Notamacropus eugenii: one gene and its partner. The protein of the gene in region 2 purifies or fractionates together with the protein of the main gene of each other region. This does not show direct contact. Links are inferred from orthologs where the notes say so. Each region holds a gene or a part of one and is shown on either strand. Other genes may lie near its edges. The genes, in order: IFI30 and DAPK1.

Region 1 (15,925 bases), on a different chromosome or scaffold from region 2:
CAGAGGCACAGCAGGATAAAAGGGCTAGCCCTGGTCACAGAAAGAGGTGTTCAAACAGGCTCTGAAACCAGTGTATTCTCTCCTCACATTCAGCTCCACCTTTTCCCCCTCCATTCTCCCAAGCTTCTGGGCAGTGCCAGGTATCTACAAGACCCCAAGAAGAAACCTTGTGATTTGCTGAGGAGGAAACTGTGGTCCTTTCCTTAATGGGGATTTGGCGGGGTAGGGTGGGAGTAATGGCCTGGGGAAGAAGGCTAAGCCAAGTTAACAGAAGCCAGCAGGTGAGTTGGGGAGAGGGCATAGCTCTTACTTCTTCAACCACAATCCAAGGCGTGTATGTATGTGGAGGGGAAAGATGATTTGTCATCATGGCGTTTTGATGCATCATCTTTTTGCCTTGAGGTCCCGTTGCACATTGTGTGACATCTTCCATAGAAATATCAGGGGCATAGAGCTTCAGACACTGCAAAGAAGTGAAGGAAGTATTATTTGGAGGGGAGACTGATACCCTACCTTTCTTCTTTCCCCAGAACAACTAAGCCAACCTTATCTCTTCACATGTTAATGAGGCAGTAGCATGAAGGCAGAGAGGAGTTAAAAATGTAGGGAGCCTTTGCCCTGAAAATGGGATAAATCTTTCCCATTGGGTCTACCCTTCTACTCTCTCACTAGTTGTCAGAGTGGGTTTGGGTCTCCAACCCATCCTTCTTTACCTTATGTAAGCCTACTCCAGCTCCCATGTAAGAGAGAGCACCAGAGGACAATAAGCCAGGCTTGTCTAACCTGTCCTTCCAGTCACCATCCCTTTCTCTGGCTCCAAATCTTTGAAATGTGCCCACAATCTCTGAAATCCAGGAAGAACTAAGTCATTACAGTGGGGGATAGTGTGTATTGTAGAATGTGGGGAAGCTGCTCAGCAGCCTACCGCCTTCCACAGAGTTTCAGAAGGCTCATGGGACTTTGTCTTTATCCCCAGATTCTGACTAGATGTGGGACCCTTGACAAATCCCTTCATTTTTCTCAGCTTCCATTATCCTGACAACAAAAGCAATGTCCTGATTCCAGGGGATTGAGGATGAATAAGAATGCTGCCCACCTCCTACCTGAGGGGATGAACTCAAGAGGCCTAAAGACACGCTTTTTTGGATATGGCTGGTGCAGAAAACTATGTATATTTGTTCCAGGCTAGTTGTTGCTTTTAGTAGTATTTTTTTTTCCCAATTAGATGTCAAGACAATTTTTAGCATTCATTTTTACAAATTTGAGTTCCAAAATTTTCTCCCTCCCCTCTTCCAAAAATGATAAGCAGTTTGATAGAGGTTATTCATGTGGCATCATGCAAAACATTTCCATATTAGTAACACTTTTGAAAGAAGAAACACATCAAAAGGAAAAAAAAACACAACAAAGAATAAGTGAGAAAAATATGCTTCAATCTGCAGAGTCCATCAGTTCTTTTTCTGGATGTAGCCCTTTGTGCTTATTTTGGATCACTGTGTTGCTGAGAAGAGCTGAGTCCTTCATAACTGATCATCACAGTATTGCTAATACTGTGTACGATGTTTTCTTGGTTCTGCTTATTTCACTTTGTATCAGTTTGTACAGGTCTTTTCAGGATTCTCTCAAATCTGCCTGTTGTAGATTTCTTATTGCATGATAGTATTCCATTACATTCAGATGCCACACCTTGTTCTACCATACCCCAAATTGTTCTCCAGAATGGTTGAATCACTTCACAACTCCACTAACAACGCATTGATATCCCAATTTTCTCACATCCTCTGCAACATTTATCATTTGCCTTTTTTGTCATAATAGTCCATCTGATAGGTGTGAGGTGGTACTTCAGAGTTGTTTTAATTTGCATTTTTCTACTCAAAAGTGATTTAGAGCACTTCTTCATATACCTATAGATAGCTTTATTTATCTAAAAGCTACCTGTTCATGTCCTTTAACCATTTATCTCTTGGGGAATATTGTTAGGTAAGAGATAAGGAAGATAAATTTCTGTTTATTAAAATGAATTGATTCATGGAGTGATTCCCATCAATTGGGGAATGGCTAAACAAACTGTGATATATGATTGTAAATGGAATATTATTTTGCTATACGAAATGACAAATAGGATGATTTCCAAAAAACCTGGAAAGACTCACATCAACTGATGAATAATGAAATGAACAGAACCAGCAGGACATTTAACAGCAACATTGTTCCATGAAGAACTGTGAATGATTTATCTATTCTCAGCAATACAACCATCCAAGATAATCCCAAAGGATTATCCTCCTCCAGAGAAAGAACTGATATTGTTTGTACAGAGGCTGGAGCATGCTATTTTTCTATTTCATTTTTTCTTTTATTTGAGTCTTGTACAAAATGACTAATATGGAAATGTTTTATATAATGGCATACATATAATCTGTATCTGATTGCATGCCATCTCATGGAGGGGGGAAGGAAGGTAGAGAGGAAAGGATAGAATTTTGAATTCAAATCTTAAAATAAAAATGTAAAAAGAAAAGCTGATTCAGTTAAAAAATTAATGTGGAAACAGCAATTTCTACACAACTTCCCTCTTTGAGCTGTGTGACAATGTTCAAACACTACAAAAATGAAAGTTTTCATTACCTTTCTTGTTTGTTTCATGAGGTTCTCTAGGAAAATATCAGTATGGGGCCTGACTTCCATTTTGTCTTTGTATTGCCAAGTGCCTAGTATGATGATAGGCACGTGGCTACCATTAAATATCCAGAGGGGGACTTGAATTCATCCCTGCCACCAAAGAATGCCCTTTTTAATACCAGAATTCTCTGGGTGAAGTATGATTCAGCAGAGCTGATCTCAGATGTAGGGAGACCTGGGTTCTGGTGCTGTGTGACCCTGGGCAAGTCACCAAATTTCCTCAAGAAACTTTCTGAGCCTAAGACCAGGCAACTGGAAATCCACAAGTCATTTCCGTACTAAGAGTTCCTTAATACTGATGAAAAACATAGGCAACTACCCCCAACAGTAACAAGTCCAGGTGATTCAAAGGATGATGGTGGACAGATGAAGGCTGCAGCCTATGCAGAAACCAGTCAAACTACCAGTATCTCAAGAGAAGTGAACATAGGATTGGCAAAGGTAGTATGCCAGTCACACAATAACAGTGTGGGATGAACATTAGAAAGTGTGTCTATGTCTAGTGTCTATGAAATTTGTAAAGACTCTAATGCTTTGGATGGACCCTCCAGTGAGAAGCCATGAAAGGACATGGACAAGAATCCCATGGAATGAGAAGACAGAAGGAGCACCACACCTCCCTTCTCCCCAGGGGGCAGGGGAAATACTCACAAGATGCACCCATCAAGAGGCAACAAATCTGTCTACTTGTCTGGACTAGTCTCAATCAGTCAACAGACATTTGTTAAGCAATTACTGGGTGCTAAGCACTAGGTACAGAATGAAAAGCAAAGAGACAAAGTCTCTGCCTTCAAGGAATTCACTCCCATTCTAAAGAACCCTGTCTTCAAAGTTCATCTCCTGAAATATTGCCACCTTTGGGTCCCTAAAGAACACAGACACATTCTCTGGAGGAGATTTAAGCTAGTAGTGCTCTCCAGAAAGCCCCTTCAAATTAGCCTATTTGGTAAGGAAAGTGCCTGTCTTTACTTATGGACCATCCATTAATGCTCTAACCATCTAAGACAACAAGACCCAACCTCACTAAAGGAAGAAGTGTGGAAGTGGGTCCAGGAAAGGATGAGTAATCTGTTGTGTATGGGGATTTCCACTCTTGCCTCTATATAACATAATTTCACTACTCTTCTCACAAGAGCAGTCATGTGGAACATTCTGGAAATTGTAATACCCATAGAAATTAATGTTATTTATTATTAACTATAAATTTATTTTCTATCAATGTAATAATAATATACTTATATAATTATGAATTAGTATTATAATAATACTTAATACTATTAAAATGACTTCCCTCACTTCTTTCACTCCATCTATTACCAATACCTCTTTCTGGTCTTGGTACTTGCCATGTCAGTGACTTTTACTTGATCCTGACAACCACCTTTCCACTATCCCCACTTTACTCATGGGGAAATCAAGGTTCAAAGAACCAGCAGTCACTTTTCCAAGGTCTTACAGCCATTCCTGCCCTGCACCAGGTCTTAATGTCCTTTAGGTGATCCCAGGACAATGAAATGCTGCCTCAGGGCTGCATCAGTCCAACTGTAGCCCCTGGGCAGAGACAAAGGGGTATTGGAAGAGATTTCCTCTCTTCCCTTCTCATTCCCCCTGCCAGACCAGGCAGGCACTTACTGGTTCCAGTGAGGTGGTCTGATCAACAGCTGACATCATACAGTTGACCACAACAAAGGCATTAGGAAAATGACTTCCAAGGAGGTACAACACGCAGGTCTGTAGGAGCAGAGAATAAGACTGAGAAACAGATAGGAAGAATATTCTTTCCCTTGGGAAATATTCCACACTCTGCTTCCCCATAATGTACCAGGAATGCAAAAGGAAGCCCAGAGTTTAAGTGAACAGCCCACAGTCACACAACACCTCCAGGAGAGGTTTGGAGCAGAAGAGTCTTTACCTGAAGCATGTTGAGTTCACACTCCAGCTCCCCATGTTGGCAGGTAAATTCCCAGGTCCCATTCACTTGGGTCTCCTGAAAAATACACACCCCAAGATGTGAAGGGGAAGGCAGAAGGCTGCAGGCAAACTCCCCACCGTCACTCCCACCCCAGTCCCAAGCTGGACCACTCACCTTAGCATTGCCAAAAGGCACAAGAGTGACATTCATGACATCCTTACCCAGCAGCACCCAGGTAGGGAAAAGCATCCAGGACAGGAAGAACCGACAGCCGGGACACAGTGCCTCATAGAAGAGTTTCACAGAGACAGGAGGGGCATCCAAAGGTCTCCATTGGGCAGAACACTCCTTTTCCGCCTGCAGGATGGGCACATCAGGTCACATTGGTGGTAGACAGACAAGTATGATCAGTGTGACAGGCTTCTAAGGCGAAGCTGCACCCTACTTTCCTCCCCATGTAGGGGGAGGCATGTTGGGACCCTGAGAGCCAACAGCAGCTGAGTCCCCTGGTAGTGTCCCTTGCATGGGATATTGCAGGGTCTGAGTGGATCCCCTGCCTCCAGCCCTGCTCTCTCCAATCCATCCTCCACACAGCTGCCAAACTGACTTTCCTGTCCTCAGGAAGTTTCACTGGCCCTGGTCCTCGTCTGCTGTTACAAAAAAATACAAACTCCTTTCTTTGGCACTCAGTGCCCATCAGACTCTGGCTACACAGCCTGTCTTTCCAAACTCATTGTACAATACTCCCTGTCATTCATTCTATATTTCAGCCAGCTACTGCTCCTAGAACATGAGGCCCCATCTCCCATCTCCAGGTCCTTGCACAAGCAAGGAATGTTCTGGATTTCTGGAGTGTTCCACCTCCCTACCTCTGTCTTGCAACACCTAGTTTTCTTTAGGGTTCTGCTCGGTGACACCTCCATCAAGAGACCTCTTTGTTAATGTCTTCCTCCTGCCCACATCAATATGTATTATATATTCTAGACATATTTGTATGGACATACATGCACATACTTTTATATCGACATATAGACATACTCTTATGTGTCCTACAAGCAAAGCCAGGAAGACTACCAGGGTTCAAGTCCTGTCCTAAGCACATAGCGGCTAAGTAGTTTTGGGCAAGTCACTTGGCCTCAGTACCTGAGACACTCCCTTAGATTTTAAGTTGTAGAGAAAGTGGCAACTTTCCCCGATAGAGGGGAGACTGCTCACCAGAGCCTTTCCTATGCCAATGAATGTAGACATCCCATGCAGTCCAGATTGACTTGTGTGCAGTGGGCATGTTCTATCCCCCAGTGGAGTGGCAACTCTTTCATGGACAGAGGCCTTTGGGACTTTCCCTTTGGTGTTTTAGCCAGGCCCTAGAAGCATCTGGCACAGGCTAGGCACTTAATAAATACTGGCCAGCTGATGGACTGGCAGAGATCTCTCTGTCCTGTTTCCTTATCTGCCAGATAAGGACACTGGCACCTGATAATCTGCTGGGCCCTTCTGGCACAGGCATTCTCACCACCAGAGTGTCTGGCCCTACAATAGATGCCTGCAGTCCTCTTCTAGCACTATGTTCTAAGAGCCCTCAGCTCTCCTGTTCTTCAGGATAGAGAAGATCCCTTATAACCACTGACTGGGGACAACTTCCTACTTCTGTTGCCCATCCTCTGAAACCACTGAGAAATCAGCTCCAGGTTAGTCACCATGTGACTGTCATGGGGTCTGTGAAGAAATCCTGACCCATTCCATTGTCAGCACCTTGGACTTTCCCTCAGCACTCTTCTCCTCCTCCCCAGCACCCTTCCCAGCTTCCAACTCTAGGGAGCAACCTCTAGAGACACTTGACTGCACGGTGACCCCAGGCTGGAGCAAGAGGGAGTTCAGGGTCCTATAGGGGTAAGGATAGCCCTACGTCCAGGTGAGCCTCTCCTGGGTACCTCCACCCTCAAGTCAAATCTAAACTGTCTTCCAAGTTGCTAGGAAAAGTAGTAGGAAAAAAAAAAAGCTGTGGAGCCACTTAGAAACAAGGAAGCCCCACCCATCCCTGGCTACCTCTGGCTCTGGAGGGAAAGTACTTCACCCTCTCGGTTTCTTTGTCCAGGTCCGGGCTTCTATGCCCCTGGGTCTGACACTCTCTGTCCTGCCGGGTCCCCCAGGAAGCCGTCTGGTATTCAGGGACCCTGGTCTTACTCCCGTTTCCCCTGGCCCGGACATTGGCAGGTTGATGTAGCTGGCGCCTATCTCACCCAGCGTCTGAAGCAGTCCCAGTGTGGGGGAGAACCAGATGTCCCAGGGGCCCGCCTCGGGACGCTGCCCTGCCTGCGCCGCGCCAGGTACCTGCCTCGCTTCCGGGGGAAAAAAGCTCAGGATCCGACCCCATTCCCATGCTCCAGCCCCACCCGAGTTCCCAGCCGTCCTCTAGTCCACAGTTCCTGTCCCGGACCCAGTACCTGGCAGATTCGGGAATTTTCCCAGGAGGAGCACCAATTGTAGACGGGCTGAGTACAGACAGGTTTTGTGGATTGCGATTTTCGGTGGAGTTGGGAGTGACTGCCACTTCCCACCTGACAGGGCACGCTGGGCACTCCGGGTACCAGGAGCAAAAGGAGGAGCAGAGACGCCAGAGGAGCCCAAGCCATCAGGCCTAGGTTGGTGGATTTGGCGGAGCGGAGAGCTGAGTGTAGATGAGCTGGTTGTACAATGAGGCTCAGTCCCAACCTTTAACCTCCTTGCCCTGCAGTGTCTGGCCCGCCCTCCTTGTCCCCGCCCCTGTCCCCGCCTCCCCCAGCTGTCCTGGCTGGGGGTGAGGGGGGAAAGAGGGAGGAACCTATAGACCCTACCGATCCCTCCACTTGGCCACAGCAGTCAGCACAGCTCCCGTACTGTTTCGAAAATGGGGAGAGGTGGACTAGGACCAAGTGATCCTTCATCCTGTGATTCTTTGAGCCTCAAAGTTTCCTCATCTGAAAATAAGGGGTGTGGAATAAAGGTATTTGATCTTTAAAGAACAACCTTCTCCCTCAATTAGGGCACCAGGGAAATCCTGTCCCAGGGTCTTTCCAAAAGGACACCTTGGGAAGACTTCTCTGAACAAAGTGAAGCGAGCAGAACCAGGAGAACACAGAAACTGCAACATTGTAACCATGACCAACTGGGAAAGACTTAGCTACCCTGAGCAAGACAATGTCCATAACAATTTCAAAGAAATCTTCTTGAGAAAAAAGCTATCCACTTCAGGAGAGAGCTAATAAACCTGACTGTAGGTTAAAGCATGGGATTGCCCTTGGGAGGTTTTTTAATCACTTTCTTTCCTTCTTTTGCTTTTTCTTTTTTGGCTTATATGGAAATACATATTCCATGCCTCAAGAAGCATAATGGGTGTCATATTCCTTTCCTTCTCAATGACTGGGAAAGGGACTGGAGGTAGGAAGAAAATTTGGAAGATGTGAAAAATGAATGTTAAAAAATTGACTATTTTTTTAAAAGGACTCCTTACATAGAAATGAGCTGGACCAGCTAGCAATTGCAGAGACCCTCACTAATTTTGGAAGTGGGAGTTTCCCCCACTCTCTCTGGATGCCCCTAATCCTGTTGCCACTTCCCAGAAAACAACAATGAGCAGGGTGTGTGATTGCAGGGGAGTTGTGGGGAAAAGAGCTTAGAAGTTGAGGACATTTAACAAAGGTCTCAGTCTGACCCCCATTTGGAATCTGGGTGGAGCACACTGGGCTCCTTCCAGTATTCCCTGGGCCTTGCCCCAGACTTTGGGGTATATTAAGGCAGGTTAGGGGAGGAGTTTTATATAGAAAAGAGTCAGAATGGACTGTGTTCCCTGGAAGTTTCTTATCACCTTAATGTCACAGTCTTCACTGGGGACTGAGAAAGAGAAATGAAGAAATATCAGGGGAAGGAATCCCAGGAACTGGGTGAGGATTACCCAGTCCTTGTGATCCGTAACATCACAAGACTGAGTGTTGGAAGAGACCCTGGGACACAGAAATTGAGGTCCGGATGGGACATTAGAACAGACACATGAGATTTGAGAGATGGTGAGAAGGAAGGAATACACACTGAATACTCCCTGCCAATTCTGGACTATGTTGGGAGGGCAGACAGTGCTTGCCCTTTGATCCAGCAATACCACTGCTAGGTCTGTATCCCAAAAAGAGCAAAGGAAAAGGCCCTATGTGTAGGGAACTATTTATTGCAGCTCTTTTTGTGGTAGCAAAGAATGGGAAATGGAGGGGATACCCACCAAGTGGGGATGGCAGAACAAGTTTTGTTGCATGATCATGATGGAATACTTTAGTACTATAGGGAATGATGAACAGGATGCTTTCAGAAAAACTGGGAAGATGTATATCATTTGTCATTTTCCTATTCTGTCTGATCTGACAGGTGTGAGGAGGTCTCTGAAAATTGTTTTAATTTGCATTTCTCTAATTAGTCACATTGGAACTTCCTGAGAAGAATAGCCAGGCCTGTGTCTTAGAAGGATCTTTTTAGCAGCTGAATGGAAGATGGATTGGTGTGGGAAGAGACTTAGGGCAGGCAGGTCCACCAGCAGCTATTGTGAGACTCCCAACCTGAGGTGATAAGGGTCTGCACTAGTGGGGTGATGGTGTCAGAGAGAAAAGGGTTATAGGAGACAAGTATTTATTAAGCACTTACTGTATGCCCAGCACAGTGCTGGACACTGAAGTGCAAATAGAAACAAAGAGATATTCCCTGCCTTCATGGAGTTTCCATTTGAATGGGGGGAGGGAAAGGAGACAACACAGAAAAGGAAGCTGAAGATGGAGGTGAGGTGAATGTCCTTGAATGGGGACTTGATAGAGAAAGAAATCCAGAGTCAGGAGTGAACTCTGATCAGGAATGAAGGAGGAAACCAGTCTAGCCTGGGCCCTTCCTTAAAAGAGAGGGTCTAGGAGGAGATGACCAGTCAGGGAAAGGGGCCAAAGGGCTGGAGGTATCTTCTAGAGGAGAAGGTATGGGGCATGAGGGCTCCCTTCATCTTTGATTCTATGTTCACAGATCAATGGGAGGAAGGGGCACATGACCAACTGGGGGAATCAGATGAGGCCTCTTGAGGAAGCAACACTAAAGCTGAGCTTTGAAAGCAGCCAGAGGGTTCTGAGAGCACGCTAGGTGTGGGAACCAGCCTGTTGCTTGTCCTTCCTTCTAGAAGAAGACTGAGGCATCAGGAAGATGACTGGCAAGTGAACTGGATTACAATGACGGAGTGCTGTTCAAAGTCACCAGCCTCACTTTCTCCTCCAGAGCCCTTTGGGTCCTGTGGCAAGATATAAATCAAGATGACTGGAGATGGCCCCCTGGAGCCAGCCTATGCAAAGGAAGATGGAAGACGGAATGCTGTGTTCAGAACAAACAGGCCATTTGACTGGACCATAGGTCAACTCCCAATTGAATTCCATCCCCCACTGCTGTCAGGTCTGGAGTCAGAAACATCAGAGACCTTTTAGTCTTCTACCTAACTAAAAGGAAGGAAAGATGGATGGATGGATGGATGGATGGATGGATGGATGGATGGATGGATGGATGTGATGGCTCCTTTCCTGAGGTTGAAGCTGAGGGCAGAGAACTTGGAATCTTCCCAGCCCTAATCCCCCCAAGGATACCCACATTCTTCTCTACAACCCATCATACCCCACCCCACCCCACCCCTCCAAGATTTCAGCAGGGTCAGAAAGGAAAACCATCCCCTGCCCACAAGAGCCACTCTTCACTTCTCTTTTATAGTAAGGAGGCAGTGGACCCTGGATTTATTTTGGGGTGCTACTTGAGGTAGCTAGCTCATGGGCCCTGGGCTATCTGTGGTGCTTTCTGAGGAGGGCTGGCCTAGGCAGGCTTAGGGCAAGGCTTAGATCAGGTGTGCATCAAAATGTCACATGTCAACCTGAATTTGGATACAAAGGATCACCTCTTTACAAAATGAGAAAAGAAAAAAAACAGTGCCATGTACACAGCAGACCATGGAGAGGATTAAATATAGAATAACGGACTTCCATTTCAAGAAAACCTATGTAATAAATACTACACACGGTTTTTAAAGCTGCTCAGCTTTTCATTACTTCCTTTTTGGGTTTTCTTTTGTTCTCTTTAGCCTTTCCTCTCTCTGGGGAGATCACTGGGTACAATTACTGTCATGATCTGTTATAAAATCACTGAAAAGCTATGTTAAGCTGTCCCACAAGATTTCAGGAAAGTATTCCACTTAACTGGAGCAACAGGATACAAACCTTTCAGGATTCCAGGAAAAGGAATTCCTCCAGTTCTAATCTCTTATCAATAATGACTGCTTTAGAAATTTTTGAAAAGAACAGTAGCACCTCTAGGACCTGGGAATTTCCAGGGCTGTTCTGCTACCTAACCATCCAGCCCCTCCTACAGAAACCTAAGGGACTTTTGAATTTCCTTAGAATTGCTTTTCAAAGTACATCAGCCTGGGAAGAAGGTAGGGAGATGAATTGCCTGGACTCTGAGGGACTTGGGGACAAGAAAGGGGGAGAGGTAGTCACTGATACAGGAAAAGAGTGCAGATGCCCTGAAACAAATCCCAGAGGCAAAGCTTTGTCAGCTGGGGAAACCTAGAAGGTTCTGCTCTTTCTCTCTAACCCAGGAACCCCGTTTCTCCCCCAGAGCTCTGAGGACTAAGGCTGGCAGCCCCCAGACTTTGGGGTCTTTCCTCTCCTGGATTGCTTCTATTGCACCTCTTTCTTTCAGCCATCTCCTCCTGTCCCACAACCTGAAAGTCACTCAAGGTTTTGTTGTCTGCTCTATTCTCCTCTACCTTTCCCTTCTCCCCTTGGGTCATGTCATCCCTTCCCATGGCTCACACTTTCTACCCTCCCTTCTCCTTAGATCGTATCTGAAATGCAGATGGCCCTTCCAGCTTTGACACTCATTCCTCGGCTGGCCTCTCCCCCAGAGGTGATCTCTTCTATTCTGGCCTTCTGGCCCTGGAATACCCTTTTACCCCTTTCACCCCCTTCTCTCACTGATCAGTTTCTTCCTGGGAAGTCCATTTTGAGGAAGGGTTCAGGAAAGCCATTTTCACTCCTCTCCCAGATTCACCTGCCTGGGTAACATGCTTTCCTCCCCCTCTCTTCTGAACTCCTTTATTGGTGTTTCCCTCATTAGAATGGAAAGTCTTGGAGGGCAGGGGCTGTCTTTCCTTTTTACTAGTATGTGGATCCCCAGTGCTGAGCTCCTGCCTGGTCCATAGCAAGCACTTAACAAACACTTCTTGTAACTGAATTCCAGTTGTCTGTGTTTGTGCCTTGGGTCCTGGAGGACAAGGACTAAACTGTATTGAAACTTTGAATGAATGAAAAGACATTTGGATTAAGCCCAGGAAATAGCATAACAGTGGATGGAGATCAGTCCTCAAACCAGGAAGGACTGAGCCATACTGGCTGTGATCTGGGCTCCCCACAGCTCTGTTCAGCCCTTTAAGTGGCAGAGCAGGTACCCACTGGCCTTGGCAAAGGGAGTGTTTTCTGCTGGGAGTTCCCTTCCCAATGAAACCATGGATCTTGTCCCAATCCCTATCTTCTCCAGCACTAAGTACAAGGTGCCCTTTGAAGAACTCCTGGCCTTTGCCCAGGCAATGTCCCACACCTGGAAAGCTCTCCTTCCTCACCTCCACCTCCTGGCGCCCCCTTCAAGGCCTAGCTAAAACACTCCTTCTACAGGAAAACTGTTCCAGTGCCCCTTGATTCTAGTGCCTTCCCTCGGTTGATTAGCTTCAGTTTATCCTGTCTGTGGCTTGTTTGTCCAGAGTTGTTTAGCACAATGCCTGGCACCCATAAAGTGCCTAATGAATGCTTGTTGGAGCAACATTATTGGGAGACGGGCGATAACGGTGATAATGTTTAATATAAAATTTTGGAATAATCTCTTTGTTCTCTCTGAAGCAAACTCAGAGAATGCCTCTTCCTATGTCAGCAAAAGCCAGCCAAAGCTGACTCTGCACTCCTTGGGAGTCCTTTAACCTATGACATATCTTGAATAATGGGACTTTCCTTTGTATCTTATTATCTATAGACACATACTATGTTATGGCATATTAATGGTAAAGAAAAAATAGGCATCCTGGGTTTCTATTGAACATTGTTTGCCCTTTCCTGCATCAGTTACCTGTTTGGGGCAGGAAGCCTGCCACTTACTAGTGGTGGGATTTCCTTACCACCTGGGACATATGTTTACCCAGCTTGGAATCTCAAGACTTGACTGACATTGCTTTGTTAATTGTCTTGTCTTACTAAATTTATGATTTGTTCAACTAGGAGAGTTCCTTTCTCATGGCAAAATGTATATAAGCCAGAAGATTTCTGCACTGGGTAGCCAGAACATTTCTGGCTCCATAATGCATTATGTAACTGTTTTCTTTATGGGGAATTGATTGATTAATTAATTAAATCATAAAATGTATGCATTCAGCCTGTTGTCTTTCTTTTTAAGTTTTCAGGTCAACAACGGCAAGACAATCCCAAAGGACTCAGGCGGAAAATGCCGCCCACCCCTGAAGAAAAAGCTGATGATGTCTGAATGCAGATTGAAGAGTAATATTTTTACTTTAATTTTTTGTGTGTTTTTCCCCTTTTATTCTCTTTTTTCTTTCACAACATGACTAATATGGAAATATGTTTTACATGATTGCACATATATAATCCATATTAATAGCTTACTGTCTTAGGGAGGGGATCAAGGGAGGGAGAAAATTTGGAACCCAGAATTTTATTTTAGAAAATGAATGTTAAAAATTGTCTTTATAATTAGAAAAAATAAAATACTATTTTAAAAATGCTTATTGACTTTACTTGACTCCCAGAAGTATATCTGTGGCCCTGGCTTCTCCCCTGAACTCCTGCCAGGTTATGTGTGTCCCACCAGCAACCCCACCTCAACCTGTCCGAAGCTGCAGTCAGCACTTTTCCCTTCTCCCAGCTTCCCTCTTCAACTTTTCTCCTTACTTTCCCCCAATGAGCATTAGAAAATTGAGGTTCTTATCCTGAGTACATGGGGTGATCTTGGAAATTTCCTTCCTCTTCTGGGCCTAAGTTTCGTCCTCTGTAGAGCAAAAGGGTTGGTCTAGATGACACAGAAGACCTCTTTCAGCAATTTCAGTTTGTGACACACCATCTAAATATGTAACCACCTGCCCCTTCACAAAACATTCCCTACCTTCCTGACAAGGAGTTTTCTAGCCTTTTGGACAAGACTTTCCCTAAGGGGGAACCTCGTGAGGTGCTTCATTTCAGTTTCTTTGTTCCTTAACATCTGAGGAATTTTTTTCCCTGACATCAGGACAAAATTCCTAAATATTTACTCTCAGAATTTTCTCTCTCTTGGTCCCAATTCTCTCCTCTGGGTCTAAGCAGATTGCATAGAATCTCTAACAACCAGCCTTTACATCATGCTTTGGGTTTTGCTAAACTCTTTATAAATATTATCATATTAGATCCTCAAAGCAAACCTTTGGGAGATAGGTGTTATTATTATCCCAATTTGGACAGTTGAGGAAACTGAAGCAAACAGAGGAGAAGTGACTTGCCCAGGGTCACACAGGTAGGGAGTGTCTGAGACCAGATTTCAACTCTGGTCTTCCTGACTCCAGGCTCAGGGGTCTTATCCACTGGGCCACCTGGATCCCTTCCACATGACAGCCTTTCACATATTTGAAGAAAAAAGTTTTCTCTTTCCTAAGTCAAACATCCCTAAGTTCCTTTAAGACATTCTCACCTGACAAGACCTAACCTTCATTATCCTTGTTTCCCTTTTCTGATTCTTCAATGTCCTTTCAAAATCTGCTATCAATTTGGGGGATAACTAAACAAATTGTTGTATATTACAACGACTAGGTTCTTATCTTTGTAAGAACTTACTATAATGAAGAATTCAGGAAAACAGAAAGAACTGATGAAGAGCCAAGTGAGTAGACAGTCAGGAAAGCAATTTACACAATTTTCCCTGGAGGCTAAGGGAAAATGGCCTTGAAAGACTTCAGACCTCTTTGAGTATCCAATCCTAACTTCAGAGGATGGATGGTGAATCATGTCTCCCAACTCTAAGTATGGCAGAAGTAGATGGCCAGATGGAGAATAAGGCATACATTTCTATTCATGGCCTATTTGTTGGCTGGTTTTGCTTGATTATATTTATTTGTTATAAGAAGGCATTCTAGTGGATGTGAAAAGGGTGGGGAGGAGTTTTGGGGAGGTATCATTAAAAATAAAAAGAATTGAGCATCAAGATTTGAAACTTTAAGAAAATTGCTTCCTAGAACAACACAATACCCTGATATTGGCTAGAGTCTATCTACTCAACCCTACGGTAGAGCTGACCTGTGTGGCCGTTAATTGGTAGCCTAAATTGATCAATCTGTAGTCATTTATTAAATTCCACTGAACTCTGCCTTGACCATTAGGCAGGCCTAGCCATTTACCACTTATCTGCCCAGAGGCTGTATCCCCCAACTTCATTCCCCAACATGCTTTGCCCAAGAAGTTAAACATAAAGCATTATGGCTGTAGGGAAAGGCATGGCAATCTGTTATCTTAGCACTAGTCCAGTACTAGACTAGACTGTCCTAGACTCAGAATCCCTGTGATTCAGAGTCATAGGCTTATATAAGGGAGAACATCCCTTTCTTGACTACCCCTCCCTCATCCCTCCCACCCATTCCTGTTAGTTCCAACTCTCCTTGTCCTTATTCCACTCAACCTACTTTCTGTTTTGCCACCATTCCATTGGTAATCAACATCCTTTCAAATTTCCTCTCATACTTCTTCATTCTTGGCAAGAATGGAAACCTGGCTTCCACCAGAAGAGATTGCACTTCTGGGCATCTTCTCCAGCTCTGGATGGACCTCTGCTTAGACTATCTCCCTTTCCTCCTGGCCTCAGAGTGGTCTTGGAAGAGGAGAAAGCATACTCTTATACACCCTCATCACTTAGCAACTTCTCCTTCTTTGGGTTTCCTAATTTGTCACCCGATACAGATCTTGGTGACCGTTCTCAACTGCCACCACCTATCTCATTCTTCCTCCTTTCTTTTTAAAAAATTATTTTATTTCACTAAATATGTTCCAATTACATATAAAAACTTAACAGTAATTTTAAAAAATTGAGTTGCAAATTCTTTCCCTGACTCCTGCCCCTTCCCCCTCCTCCTGCCTCCTTTCTTGAGGAGTTCCATGTCTGGCTCAGCCTTTCTCCCTACCCCAACCCAGGTCCTCATACTTGGGGAGTTCAACTTACAAGCTGATTTCCTTTCAAAGATCGAGATTCCCAGCTCTCATGACTTTCTCA
Region 2 (15,109 bases):
GAAAATATCATTTTTTAAAAATGTGGCCTTTCCTGGTCCCCCTCAATGCTAGTGACTTTCCTCTGAGATTAATTTCATTTACATTGTATACACATTGTATGTATATGGTTATTTTCGTACAGTCTCCCCCATTAGAGTAAGAACTTCTCTCGGACAGGGACTTTGTATCAGTAGGATCTAACACATCATAACCAATGAAGAAATTTTTCTTGACTTGATTTAAGTTGTTCCTAGTACATGGTATTTCCTCTTCTAACATAATGCCTTTTCAATGGCCATTCCCCACACCAGAAATATTCTCTATCTTTGTCTTTGTTTCTTGGTTTCCCGGATCACCTTCAAGGCTTAGCTCAAATTTAACTTCTCCAAGAGGCCCTTCACTCACATCCCTACTACTGGATCTTCCCTCTAATATCACCCTCTCTTTATCTTATGTAGCATTTCATATATATATATATGTATATATATATATACACATATATATATATACTCCTACACATACATATACACATACATACACATACACACATGTATGTATACATGTATGAATATGTGTACATATACAGACACATATACATATATAGAATATAAAATGTTTTTGTATATTATATATTTTACATAATAAATCTACATCTATTAAAGGTTGTCATTAAAACAGTCTCGGCTTTTGCCCTAAGTGGACTCATACTAAGAGTTCCTGCATACTAAGACTTAGGTAGCTCATAATTACCAATGAGGAAGGTGTTCTCAGGGATGTCCTAAAATTATTTATAATGCACATACATGTACTACTATATTAATATATTTTATATTATGAAACAAATACATTAAAATAAAAAAGGATAAGATAGAAGTGAAATAAACAATATTTGTATATTTTGTATGACGGAATAAAATTCTGGAATAGTATTTCTAGTAAGGGCCATGTAATTGAATATTCTTCAATTAGTTTTCAAAAACCCCTGAGTATGTCCTGGAGAATAGGACAGAATTATGAATAATAATGTTTGGTAATTACTCTGTTAATTTGATCAGTGTAGTTAGCCAAGCAGGTAAATCTGTTTTTTGTAGTTTTAGTTTCATGGAAAGATACAAGCAAACAATAGGTCATAAGAGTGATTGAACATAACAGCTTTTCAGTAGGAGTCATGTTTCTCTTTATGTAGATAGTCATCATACACAATGCAAAAATAATGAGCAAAAGTGAATTCAATCAAGCAGAAAGTTTTCAGAATAATCCATGCCTCTTTCTTTGAGTAGTTCTTCTTAATGGATGGTATATCTCAATATCTTATGCATGCTTGGATATTTTAGTTGTGGTTTTTTGTGAGTTTGGGGAACAGGAAGAAAGCCACTTAACTGTACCTTAAAGTGCAGGAAAGAAGTAATATATAATGAGAATGGAAAATTACACTGGGGCCAGGTCATGAAGAGGACTCAAAGTCAAAAAGAGGAGCTTATTTCTGATTCTACAACCAATAGGTAGCCAGTGGAATTTGCTGGGGGGGGGGGGGGTGACATCATATGACCTATATTTTAGGCAGAGGTGGTGAGGACTTTGGCAGGTGTAGAGTATGAAAAAAGTAGGGAGAGAGTTGAAGCAAGGAATCAAGGTGTGGAGATACAGAAAAAATTCAGGTGAGAGGTGATGAGGAGCTGAATTCCTCTATCACATCCTCTGACACAGTCTATCAGTTGTGAGTAGAGGTGAGAATTGTACAAGTGGCAAAAGCAATCAGGAAAGGCTTCTTATAAGAAGTGGCATTTGAATTGAGCTTTGTTGGAAGCCAAAAATTCTAAGAAGCAGAGGTGAAAAGGGAATGCATTCCAGATTTGATGGGGAGAGACTGTGTCAGGGCACGGAAGCGGGAATTACAATATCATACATAGGGAACAGGAAGACCAGTTTAATTGTGTTGTAGAGTATGGGAAAGGGAATAATGTTTAATAAGAATGCAAAGATAGATTGCAAGAAAGTTGTGAATTGCTTTAAATGCTAAAAAGGAGCTCATATCCAATGCTGGAGGAGATAAGAAGCTACTAGAGTTTATTGGTAGGGAATATTATAGGGTCTGGATGACTTTGGCAGATCTTTGGAAGTAATGGATGGAAAGGATATTTTGGAAAGAGAAGAAACTTTACCCAGGGAGCTCAATGAGGAGACTATTACAATAGTTCAGGTGAGACATGGTGAGGACCTGGATGAGAGTGGGGGCTGTGAAATGGACAGAGGTGTGAAGAGTTATAGAAGGAGAACACAAAAAACTTGACAACTGATTGGATACGTGGGGTGTAGGAGAGTTGAGGATTATTCCAAGTTTGTGGGCATGAATATCTGAAGGAATAACAGTGATTGAATTACAGAGAATTGGATTTCAACTTAACGTTGAACAATTAGAGTGACTGGAAAATGGAATGAGTTATTTTGAGGTAGAATATTCCCTCAAAAAAAAAATACTCAAAAGGGATGAAGTGGCTACCCAATAGGGACATTATAAATAGTATTCCTGTGGCCTGAGAAGTTAGACTGAATGACTTCTTAAGCCTCTTCCATCTTCCACCTTTTTCATTTAACTTAAATGAAAGTAAGAAAATCTTTCATTTAGGATTCTATAGAAATTAGTCTAGCCTCCATAGATATGTACGTGACCTAAATGGAAGAAAGTGTACCTAAAATATAAAATCAAAATGCAACAGGCCAGCACTTTAAGATAAAGATTATTTCTGCTAGAGACAGTATGGTATAATGGTAGATGAGGAGCTGACTTCACATAGCCAAGAAGATCTGGATTCAAGTCTCATGATACATAAAGACTGTGTAATCCTGGTCAAGTCATTTAAGCTCTCAACGCTCTAGGAAACTCTAAGACTATGAATTGCAGAGAAGGTAATGACATACTGATAGAGGGAGTTTTCTTACTTAGGAGCTCCTTCAGTTCAATCATTTTTCAGTTATGTCCAACTCTTCATGACCCCATTTGGGGTTTTCTTGGCAAAGATGCTGGAGTGGTTTGCCATTTCCTTCTCTATCTCATTTTACAGATGAGGAAACTGTATCAAACAGGGTCTCACCATGATCACACAGCTGGTAAGTGTCTGAGGCCAGACCTGAACTCAGGAAAATGTCTTCCTGACTCCAGGCCTGACTCTCTCTCTCACTCCACTGTGCCTCTAGTGCCAACGAAATCATAGGTCTAATCCCTATCCTCTTATTGTATCATTAATATTTTGAATTTAAACAAAAAATGTATATCTTGAGGATCTATAGTATCTCAGAAATCTAGCTACTTCCATTATAATGTAGAACTTATGTTAACAAAGTCAAAATTAATGAATATTCCTTTTTCCCTTTTAATCATGTTTCCCTAAAAGGGTAATCCATACCGATGACACTTACGGTAGGAGGTTGAGAAACCTAGGGTGTTATTCCTCTTGTCAACCCAGTGATAGTAATGCCATATGCATAGTGATAGAGTCAACGCAGTGAAAATATGGAGCCCTTGGACATCCCAACATCAGTTCCTACTGTTCAACTTGTTTCCTAGGTTCCTTAGTTAAGAAAGAAAGCTGATAAACTGGAAGCATCAAGAGGAGGTTAACCATAATGGGACCTTGGCCCAAGTCCAGATCACATGAGGAATATTTGAAGGAACTCAGAAGGTTTAACTTGAAGGGCAGAAGTCTTAGGAAGGACACCACAACTTCGTTTAAGTATTGAAGCACTGTCTTGTGAAAGAGAAGTTAGGCTTCTTCTGTTTGATCCTAAGAGCAATAAGTAGATATTGTCAAGAGGTAAATTTAGGCTAAACATCAGGTTGCTAGGATGAAGAGGCTGAAAAGTTCTAGGAAGAATCTCATTAAGATTTTCCAGTCTAAATGAACAGACACGTGTATGGTGACTTCAATGCAAATTTGGAAAAAATTGAGTATCAAGAGAAATACATATGAAACATGGGAAAGCATAGTTCAGGGGAAAAAGGAATGAGGGAGGCCAATGGAGATTATATCATGAAGCCTTTCTTTGAGGAAAAATGGGGGGTTCCCAGACATAGCAAACACCAAATTATGTTGCAAAAACAAATGAAACAAAATCCATAATATATTCTTTTTTCACAGACAGGAAAATACTTGCCTAATACTAATATGACAGTTTTACCTGAATCATCTATGTGTAACAGATAACTAATGTACCTGAGTTGAGAGCAGAATTATTAAAAACCAAAAGAATAATGAGGGGGAAAAAAAGTATACAGTTCTAACAACTCAGTCCTAAACTCTTTAAACAAGCAATTGACCATCAAAAATAGGAGACGGACAACAGATGACTGGCACTAATTATAATATTTTTATTCAGCAGTTAACTAATAGAAATTAATTGCCACAATGAAGAAACCAAGAGAGTCCAGAGAGTGCCTACTTGGCAAATAGAGAGAAATGAATACCAAAGACATCATGGAATCCAAGCTGAAGGGACATTTCCTGTGGGTGGTGATGCCCTGATGCTCCTTTTTGTCGATGATATTGTACAAATTATATCAACCAGCAAAATATTACAGGGTCTCCTGAAGGAGAAAATGTAATTATTTAGAGAATTTGAGTCTGATCATCCACATGGAAAAGACCAAGTTGATGAATATCTATTGCCTACCCTATGACATGTATTTGAATGGCTACCCTGTAGATACTGTCATCAGCATGGATGTATACATGTATACAACCTGGGTAGACAATAGAGATGGACAATGAGCTTGGGTGAGAGTTGAAGAAGAAAACAGCAGGATTGGTTGCTTTTAGGAAAACACAAAGCTCCTTTGATCCCCAGTTGTCCTGGGAAAAGACCCATATTTTTCATATCAATATTCTACTGATGTGGTTATATGGTGGTGAAATATGGAATACAAGTTTCTGAATAATTAAAAAAGGATATCACACAATGGAAAGGTGAATGCTGTGTGTGAGGACACTGCAACGATAATTGAGAGAACTTCAAACAACAGAAATTAAAGATGTCTTCAAGGAATGCTAGAAAGAAAAGATCAGGTTACATCACAAAGGCAAAGACTGACAAGTATATGACCAAAGAGTTCCTCTGGTACCTTCATTATGTCAGGAGAAAATGAGGAAGACCTCTAGTACAGTGGGGTATATACCTCTTTGAAGAACTTGTGGGAGAACAGGGACAAAAGTCATACAAGATGCACAAATATAAATGAGATGTGATTAGAATGGTTGAAGTGAACTTCCAAACTGATGAGATCATAGATCCATTTGAGTACTTGAGTCTGGAAAATTTTTTTAATAATTGGAGTTATCCAAAAGTGGGCTGTCTGGAGAGATAGTGAATTTCAATTCATTGGAGTTCTTCTGGCAGAAGATAGATGACCACTTGAGTATAGTGGGGGATTCCTTTTGAATAATAAATTGGATTAAAAAGCTCTTTACTAAAGTTCTATGATTCAATGACTCTAGGCCTTGCCTATTTTTATATCCCAGCATCAGGGAATCTCTTCTGCTCAGGCTCAGTCAGTCTTTATTCTGTGATTCAGAGTCTATTATATCTCCTAAAAAATGCCTCTGAGTCACTGTCCACTATTGCTGTCCTAAGGTCAAATGGACTTAGCACTTCTGTATTGTGACATTCCCTCTGGGTCATATTCCCTAACCCCCTGTAAATTTGCGTGGACCCTTGTAGAAGGTACCTAGATTTCACAAAATCAGGGTGAGGCTTCTACTTTCCTGCCCTAGTTTAAAGCGGTTCCAGTGTGATGAATAAAAAAAAAAATCATTCTTTTGGGGGAACATAAAGGCACTTTGGTCCAAACCTTTAAACAGGCACTGTCTGTTGAGTTGTCTTGAAGAGCACATTCACATGTACTTTCCAAAGGCATGACCGCTTTCTTACTTTCCAACTGACTCCTAAACATCTGTGTTAGATTATTTTCCAGCAAAGTCATTTGCATTTCTCTCAGATGAATCATATTTGTTATTTTCTGCTCATGTTTCTCACCTCTTGAGATCCTTTTGTATTAGTTCTGAAACCCATTACTGATATCCACACCACCTCTCAATTTAGAACCATCAGCAGATTGCATCTACCCGGCTTCTTACAGACCATTAAACAAAGTAACTAGACCAGGCCTAACACTAGACCTGGGCTACACTTCTGTTACTTCTCCCTCAAATGGAGGAAAATGCACAGAGAAGCACCATTTCTTCAGCTTGAGGGACTTATTTCAAAATTCCAGAGTGCTCTAGTTTTCAAGGCTGAATAAGTTGAAGAAGTGCTTTCATTGTGTTTTAGAACACCAGAGATTTGCCAGTGCTGGATAGGACTGCGGGTCTGAAATCCTGAAACAGAGCCTAGCGTTTGTATCTCAGTGCCACATCCCTACACGTGAACTATGGAGTGCACCCTCTTCACTGGGGTTTGTCATCACAGCATCCTTTTCTGTTTGGGGGTATCTCTCAGTAAGGCCATGACAGACATCCATTTTCCCCCAAAGGAAATCCTTGCAATCCAGTGCAGAACTGAGATTTGTGGATGGTAGGAGTGGGAGGCAAAGGTGGTTAAGAGTGGCTCTGAAAGCAGAAATTCTGAGTGTTCAGTTGATGGAGTGATATTCACGGGAGCCCCCATACCTCCCAGACTTCACTGGGCCAGTAAGTGCCGGGCCTGGGTCTCTCCTAGTCACCCTCCCCCCGCCCCGCCCCTATTCAGGGCGATACTTTTAGGAACCTGGAGAGAAGAGCCACGAAGACAGCTAAAGTCTGCAATCGCAAGACGTGCAACCATTTCCAAGCAGCGCTCCCACGGAGCCCAGGGCGTGGGCGTCTGTGTGTGCGTGGGGATGCCTGCCTGAGTGGGTGGCTAGGAGTTGGAGAGCGAGAACAGAACAGAACCGTCCCTCCATAGGCACGGGCAGGTTCAGCACTCTGGAGCTGGAGGGGAAGGTAAGTGTGGAGGTGGGTGGGTCGCTGCAAGTGGTGTTCCCTTATTGGCTGGCTGCCGGACTCCCCCTTGTGGGAGGCTGGGCGGGCGGGGGCCCCGAGTGCTGCCGCAGCTGGCTCGGCTCGAGTCCCCGATTCCACGCCGGGGACATTGTTTGCGCCGCCGGTTCCCTTCGCCAGGACCTGGAGCCGAAGGGGAAGGGCAGCAGCTGCCGGAGCGGCCGCCGCGGCGGGAGGAGGAAGCCGTGGGGGAGGAGAGGAGGTGGCGGCGAGGGATCCTCGCTCTCCCTTTTTCTCTCCGTCCCTCCTTCTCCCCCTCCCCACCCTCTTTTCCCTCTAGTCTCTGCGCTGCCCGAGCCTATGGTTGGCTTCCGAGAGCAACTCCGGAGAATTCCGGAGGCTTCCCCCGCCCCAGGCTCCCCCTCCAGCTGCAGAGTTTGGGGGTAAGTGTTCCCTGGCCCCCGCCCTCCCCCCGCCGGCTGTTTGTTTTGCTTTGGTTGATCGGCTTGCTGGATTCTCCCGGGCAGCGCCTCCGGGGAATGGGGGAAGGCCCTGGCTTCTCGGAAACTCAGCCAGGAGAGTGGGGTCGGGCCGGCGTTGGTGGGGACGGAGCCTCCCCTACCTAGCCTGCTCCTCCTCCCCTCGGTCCCGGCGTCGGCCCGGGCTGGGTCGGAAACAGGTGGATTGGGGCGGGGGCGTGCCGAGGGGCCCGGGGAGGGAGGAGGTGGGCGTCTTGGCTGGGCTGGCCTCTTCTCTCCCCCTGCCGCGGTGCGGTGCGGTGCGTGTTTGCGGGGCCGTATTGTGTCAGTGCGATGGATGGGGCTGCTTCTGCTGCTGCCAGCTGCACGTCCTAGTTGACCCGGTAACGGAGGGGAAGGCATTGTGGAATGTGCCGCCACTGGAAATTGCCTTCCGCGGATCTGGGTTAAATGGGATCGCTGGGGAAGGAAGGTATACGGAGGGAGGGGTCACAAGGTGACCGTCGTGGCAGGGGCTTGACTAGAAACCGTACCTTCCTTAGCTGCTTTTGCCTCCGAAACATTTTCCTTCTTTGAAGAGACGCATTCCGCCCCCTGGTCCGGGTACGTTTCATTCTTAGACTGAGAATGGAGGAGACTGGTGCGTGTGCGTGTGTGGAGAGAAAGGAAAGGAGGAAGCTTGGCTGGGTCCTGTTCTCTCCCTGAGCTGATCTGGGAGGACAAAACACCTTTTAAACGAACAAACCGTCATTTAGATTCCGTGTGTACATAGCCACACACGGCAGGGATAGGTTCGGGACCAGATGTAAGTTGTTGGGTTTTTTTTTTTTTTCCAGCAGTCAGTGCTTAACAAAGGCGGTTTCTCTCCCCAGATGCAAGGTGCAAATGTTGCCCCGAAATAGCATGCAAAGCATTTTTGTTGTGTGATTGTAAAGACGATAAGGGGACAATCTGTTTCTTTTGTATTTTCTTTTAAAGGCTGGAAAAATAATGCATGAGGTGCCCACGAAGCCTTCGAAGATATGGTGATAACAGGTTTGGGAAGTGGAGCTGAAGTCGGTGGGGCTTTGGTGAGGACTGACAGCTTATCATGACGGTGTTCAGGCAGGAGAACCTGGATGATTACTATGACACGGGGGAGGAGCTTGGCAGGTACGGTAGGCACTGGGACTCCTGTTTCTCTGTTGAGGGGATGATGAGTAATACTGGGGGCCTTGGGGTTGGGAACGTGTGAGGCAGGCTAATGTAAGCTGGAGTACAATACACACCCTAGCTGAGGTTTCTCTAATAGCAGCTCTGCCCCCGTCCTTTCTAAAAGGGAGAATTGTTAGAAAAGAGATTTACTAGTCACAAAAAGGGTGGTTGGAGTTAGAGATAAGTGGCACAGTCTGCAGGAAACTGTCTAGTACAAGGTCACTCAGAAATTCATTGTTACATTTTGATGCAAAGTGTATTGACCAGTCCAGGACAAGTGCCCATCTAATTCCCAGTTTTAACATTCTGTCGTGTTTTGCCCATCTGCGACAGTAGGAAAGATTCTGAGGCAATTGCAGGTGGAGAATGCTATTATGTATGATTTAAACAGATTGCTATTAAATAATAGAGTGACTAACAAATAGTAGGTTAGCATTAAATAATTCTAATTAGTTGGATTTTTAAATATTTAATTTTATCCAGAGTTTGGACTTTGATTCCAGGAGCTGTGATTCTTCATGTAAAAATCTTTCTGGTTCAGTTTTTAAATTGCTTTCTTTTTAGGCATTTGTGTACTGGTATTTTCTTGAAGCTGATAAATCATCATCTGCATAGTAATGATGGGTGCAAACATCTGTTGATGGAGTTCGTTGATTTTTAACTTCTTCAAAGCAATTTGAAAATTCGGTTGTTGTGGTGTTTTCATTTGTCTCATTTGTGCAGCTATGTTTCAGGCAATCCAATAAAAAGCCCAATATCATCTTTTTATTCACACGCAGTTTGGATTTTGATTCACGGGGCTGTGATTCTTGATGTAAAATCTTTCTGGTTCAGTTTTTAAAATGAATTGATTTAGGGGTGTTTGTGTATGGTTATTTTTTTTTTTTTTACGTTGTTTAATCACCAGCCTTATAAGGGCCATAAGCTTTTGGGAGCTTTTGCCTTCACCTGGGTAAATAGGTAACCTTTGTATTTTGCACAAAGTTTAGGAAAGATTGTACATATTGTATCTCATTTGATCTTCACAATTACCCTGGAGGTTGGTGCAGTTTATTATTCTCATTTTACAGGTAAGGAAACTGAGGCACAGCAAGGTTAAATGATTTGCCCAGGGTCATAGAGCTAGCAGTGTCTGAGGCTAGATTTGAACTCAGGTCTTCCCAACTCCAAACCCAGCACTTTCCCACTGCATCATCTGTTGCTATCATGCATTTGGCAGAAAACCTCTTTCACCCTTTAAAATGAAGTCAAAAGAAGGTGCCAATGGTGTATGTGATGTGAGTAAAGAGAATGGAAGGAACTGTAAACTAAAAAAAAAACAAACTTGTATGTATAGTCATATATGTATTCATACACAACTCGACACTCAAAGTGAGTTTCCTTTATTTTCTGCAAGAGAATTGTAACCACACCTAGTCTAAACTACTTCAATGTAATTTCCCAAATTTACCTTTTTAATTAAAAAATGAAAAATAAAAGTAATCTATATAACCTTCCATAACCTTCTATGACTGCATGATCTGTAAATAACATGAAATTTTGTAGCCACACAATGTGGCAAACATTTATTAAGACATTCTTATATGTTTCTGAGAGTATGTTGCTAAATGTCATAAAACTTAGTGATCTAGGTTTGGAGCCTTAGACACAGGAAATCGATTTAAATAACTTTTTGTGAATACATTTATCAGTATTCTGTTCTGTGGGACTGAAGTATGCATGTGTATGGCATTGTAGGGATATGTGGTCAAAATATTTGGTTTGGCTTAAATAAAGTCATTTGATTCCTGTGGTTTTGCAGCAAGACTTGTGGTATTTTGGAGTGGTCCTTTGGGACTAAAAGGAGGTGAAAAAATGTGGCATTAGCTCATTTTGGTTAAAATGGCCTAATTTATAGGGACTTCTGTATTTGAAAGATATGACTTAAAAGCAGTTGAAAGCACAGTTTAGTAAAGATAAGTCTACTTCCACATTCTTTACGAAACCTGAATTTCCTGGAGACCTTTTGGTCATTTTTTTGAAAAAGTAAAAAAATGAGGCCCACCTATTAAGAGAAGTTTTATAATCTGTGAAAATGTATATGCTTACAGTTTTTTCTCATTTTTATGATGTGGTCATTTGTACTTCATCTTAACTCTGGAGAGTGTTTTTTGCATGTCTGCTGTGTGGGGCGTGTGGTTCAAAAGAATTTTAATTCAATAATTTTACTTTTGAGAGTAAAGTGAATGAATCTGTTGATTTACATGTACTGGATAGAATTCTGGGGCTTGGAGTCAAGAAGATGTAGACTCAAAACCTGCTTATGTTACTAGTGTCAATGAGGCAAGTAATTTAATCTTACCTTTGAAATGCAGTTAATAACTCTGGTACCTACCTCACAGACTTATTGAGAGGCTCAAATGACATCGTATGAAAATATATTTTGCTAACTTTACAATTCTATACGAATGTCAGTTAATAATAAAAATAATGACTGAAGTAGGGGGTTTAGAAAGCTATGCATTGGATCTGTTTTGGAATGGTAGACTAGCCTGGAGGTAAAGTGATGGGCCAGATGACCTTTGATGGCTCTTTCAAACCCTGTAATTTTTTATGTCTGCACTGCAAATAACTACTTGCCCAAAGCAAGAAAAGATTTATTCTAAATGTGTAAGAAAGCATATTGGTTTCATAACTGTGTACTTCAATGGAAGGCAGAAAGACATAAGTTGGGGGTAGAGGAGGCAAGGTAGAACAGTAGGAAAAAAATTACAGGTATTAGTGGATTGCTAGTGTTGGCAAGTCTGTTTTAAGTTGCATATTATGAGTTGCTTGTTCATAATCTAAACGTGAGCATGTAGCTACAATAAAGTCATGTGAACAATAATTGCCTTCAAAATGCTCTCCCTTCTTCCAGCTACATAGCTATATCTTACCTGTCTTTTGATGCTGCACTTTTACTCATAAATCCACTTGATTCTATGGTGATTTCTACATGCAGCCATGAGGTATCATTTCTGCATTATTTAATTCTTGTATTGATCAATTTTATGTGTGATCTTCTACCAAGAAGATAAATAGTTTAGGGATAAAACCTGTTTGTTTGTTTTTTTAAAGGCTAAAGGCTAGGCCAATGTAACAAGCCCTGGAAGATATTACTATGTTGAAAAGACTTTGAATATTGTTGCTCAGTTGTATTCTGTTGTATCTCTTTGTGACTCAGTTGAGTTTCTTTTGGCAAAGTTACTAGAGTGACTTGGCATTTCCTTCTCCAGCTCAATTTACAGATGAGGAAACTAAGGCAAACAGGGGTAAGTGACTTGCCCAGTATCATAGTTAGAAAGTGTCTCTGGCAGGATTTGATCTCAGGAAGATGAGCCTGACTCCAGGCTCAGCACTCTGTCAGCGCCACCTAGCTGCGCATTAACACAAGCTTTGAAAGATATTACTACCTTGAAAAGACTTTGAGTATGGACTCAGTGACACCTTCCTAACTAAGTTAGAAGGTTGGCTGACCACCAGGTAGTGGATTTCTTTGATTACAGTAATTCATGCATAGTCTACAAAACCATAGAGAACTTCTCATTTTCATCAGGGGAGGATGTTCCCTTCCCCAATAGAACTGTGCATCCTTGAAGGATTCACTGAAGTAATTTTGTATCCTTTTCTCCTCAGATATAAATTCCTCCCAAATTCTATGTTGGCATTTGCATCCTCCATCCTGTGCTTTGTACATAACTCTCACTCAGCAGATGAATGCATGGGTAAACATTGATGGATCCTGTAGTACTTTACCTTTACAAAACTCATAGATCCCTTCTTTCCAAAACTTTGGAGATAGTTGTTTTTAATGATGGTAACAAACTTAGAGAATTATCACAGCTTTACTTCTTTTCTAGATTCATTTTTCTTTTGGAGGTTATATGGTTAGACTAATGAAAATACAAAAAAAAAAGACCTTTTTAAGCAAAAGAAATTGTTTATTGACAAAAATCTTCTATTAGTGAGATATAAAACTGAAACTAATAACTCAAGTTTAAAATCTTAGTTTGACATAGATTTTATAAGCATTTTAAGTAAGTGACAGTCATTTAAGGTAGCTAGGTGGCACAGTAGATAGAATGCTGGGCCTGTGGAATTAGGAAGACCTGAGTTCAGATTTTGCCTCAGATGCTTATTAGCGGTGTGAATCTAGGAATCACTTAACTTCTGTCTGCTTTAGTTTCCTCATCTGTAAATAGGAATAAGAATAGCAGCTACATTCTAGGGTGGTTATGAATCAAATGAAATGATATTTGCAAAGCACTTTGTAAATTTTAAAGCACCATATAAGTAAAAATTTAAAGAGCTATATAAGTAGTAGTAGTTGTAGCAGTAGTAGTAGTAGTAGTAATAGTAGTAGTAGTAGTAGTATTATGGTATTATACCATGTCAGCAACTAAGTAACATTTTTCAGTTTGTTTTAAATCCTATTTCTGATACTTATTATCTGTATGACCTTGAGCAAGTTATTTAAACTTCTCTGAGCTTCTTCATCTGTAAAATGGGGATAATGAGAGCCCCTATCTCGCAGGGTTGTTTTGAGGATCAGAGGAAATAGTTGTAAAACACTTTGAAAATCTTAGGATGTCGTGCCACTTGTTAGCATTTTATGCTCAACTGACAGGATTGTAGATTTAGAGCTGAGAAGGACCTCAGAAGTAATGTATTCTATCTCTCTCCTTTTAAATATAAGAAAACTGAATCCTTCAGAAGTGTCATACAATAATGAGTGGAAGAGAGTAGGTTTGAACTCAGAGCCTCTGGTTCTTTCCATTATACTGCATTGCCCCTAAATGTACACTATTACTTGTATTAGAGGGGTGTGTGTGCATATGTGTGTGTGTGTGTGTGTGTGTGTGTGTGTGTGTGTGCAGAGTCTTCAAAGAGTTCGACTCAGATGTGTTGTCTAATCTAGGCAAATACCATTTCAATTATTTTTAAATGCTGCTAGTACCATCACACTTTAATAATAGTTTTCAGGTATGTACAAGGATAATATAAGGCTGTCAATGAATAACAGTTTTTTTGATAACCAGATGGGAAGGAACGGGCTTGAACTGTATTGGAGGAGAGGTTGTGGATCATTGAAAAGTATTTATTAAGCACCCACATACCTTTAGGCTGCACAGGGTGCTGAATAGTCTCTTCATTAGGTACTCTCTCTCCTTCATAGGAAATTAAAATCTGATGCATCATTGGGTACACATGTCAAGATGTAAAAGGATAAATAGTGCAAAAACATTGCATGAATACTTACGTTCCATAAATAAATATTTACATTTGGGAAAAATTTTTTTCTCTCACATGTTGATTTCATGTATTGTATTTTTAGCTCCTTAGGAACAGAGACTATGCCTATCAGTAATAATAATAATAATATATAGCAGATGCTCAATAAATCCCATAATCACAGAACGTCAGAATTGGAAAGGACCTCAGAGGCTATCCAGTGAGACTACTGTAACAGTAATCCCTCTCTACATTAGCCATGTCAGATGTTCATATAACCTTTTCATTAAAGAGCTTGGGTGAGGGGGAACCCATGAGCTCCTGGAGCAGCCCACTCCATTTTTGGATAATTGTTAGGAAGTATTTCATTTTGGTGAGCAAAATTTTCTCTTCAGCTTTCATTGATCATTCTTGGATGTGTTCTGATGTTAAGCAGAACAATCTAACCCTTCTTCAACATGAGTTTTTTAAATATTTGAAAAAAAGTTATTATCTGACTCTTATCCCTGGCACCCTCTCTCAAGGTTGTCACGAGAATGAATTTTGTTGTTCAGCCATTTCAGACACGTCTGACTCTTTGTGTCCCCATTTGGGCTTTTTTGGTAGAGGTACTAGAGTGGTTTGCCATTTTCTTCTCCAGCACTTTTTGCTGATGAGGATACCAAAGCAAACAGGGTTAAGTAACTTGCCCAGCATCACATAGCTAGAAAGTTTCTGAGACTGGATTTGAACTCAGGTCTTCCTAACTCTAGGATGGGTGCCTAAATGAGATAATAATTGTCAAGCATTTAGCACAGTGTCTGACACCTATTATGTGCCATGGAAATGTTTATCCTTCTCCTTCTCCTCCTCATTAACCTTATTCCCCACCCTTGCCCCCAATCTTTTCTCCTATTCCTTCAGCCAGTCCTCATATGGCATGACATTGAGCCCTTTCTGCACTGTCCTGCTCACTGCTCTCACTTTCAGTTCTACCAATTGCTATTATTTCTCCTATGATTTCACATTTTATACTTGTTAATTAAATGATGATAGTAGTAACACAAAAGCTGAGGATTCTGCATTCCGCATGTGGAGCAGTTCAATTCAGAAATGCTTGTGAAGATCCTCTAGTGGCTTTCACAGTTGTAGACTTACATTTCTAACCCCAGGTGAAAATGTGGGCTTGGTAAGACTAGATGCGAGTTCAGTTTATATTTATTCCTGTAAATATAAAAATGGATAAAAGCATATGCTGT

The links.
Region 1: the proteins of DAPK1 (region 2) and IFI30 purify together in Homo sapiens (affinity purification with mass spectrometry; 3 studies listed by BioGRID and IntAct, counting the BioPlex papers as one, with this or other methods). This does not show direct contact. The link is inferred for Notamacropus eugenii from reciprocal best matches to the Homo sapiens genes DAPK1 and IFI30.

Annotation. Positions count from the first base shown.
Region 1 is NC_092875.1:67,669,498-67,685,422, forward strand, and holds the start of IFI30 (gamma-interferon-inducible lysosomal thiol reductase), read right to left. Parts: upstream 8,277-15,925; 5' UTR 7,231-8,276; coding exon 7,042-7,230; intron 4,955-7,041; coding exon 4,772-4,954; intron 4,673-4,771; coding exon 4,598-4,672; intron 4,417-4,597; coding exon 4,318-4,416; intron 2,636-4,317; exon of another isoform or gene 977-2,635; intron 464-976; coding exon 311-463; intron 1-310. UniProt on the Homo sapiens protein: Lysosomal thiol reductase that can reduce protein disulfide bonds. May facilitate the complete unfolding of proteins destined for lysosomal degradation. Plays an important role in antigen processing.
Region 2 is NC_092874.1:330,613,103-330,628,211, reverse strand, and holds the start of DAPK1 (death-associated protein kinase 1), read left to right. Parts: upstream 1-6,722; 5' UTR 6,723-6,951; intron 6,952-7,025; exon of another isoform or gene 7,026-7,391; intron 7,392-7,498; exon of another isoform or gene 7,499-7,627; intron 7,628-7,944; exon of another isoform or gene 7,945-8,030; intron 8,031-8,405; 5' UTR 8,406-8,517; coding exon 8,518-8,579; intron 8,580-15,109. UniProt on the Homo sapiens protein: Calcium/calmodulin-dependent serine/threonine kinase involved in multiple cellular signaling pathways that trigger cell survival, apoptosis, and autophagy.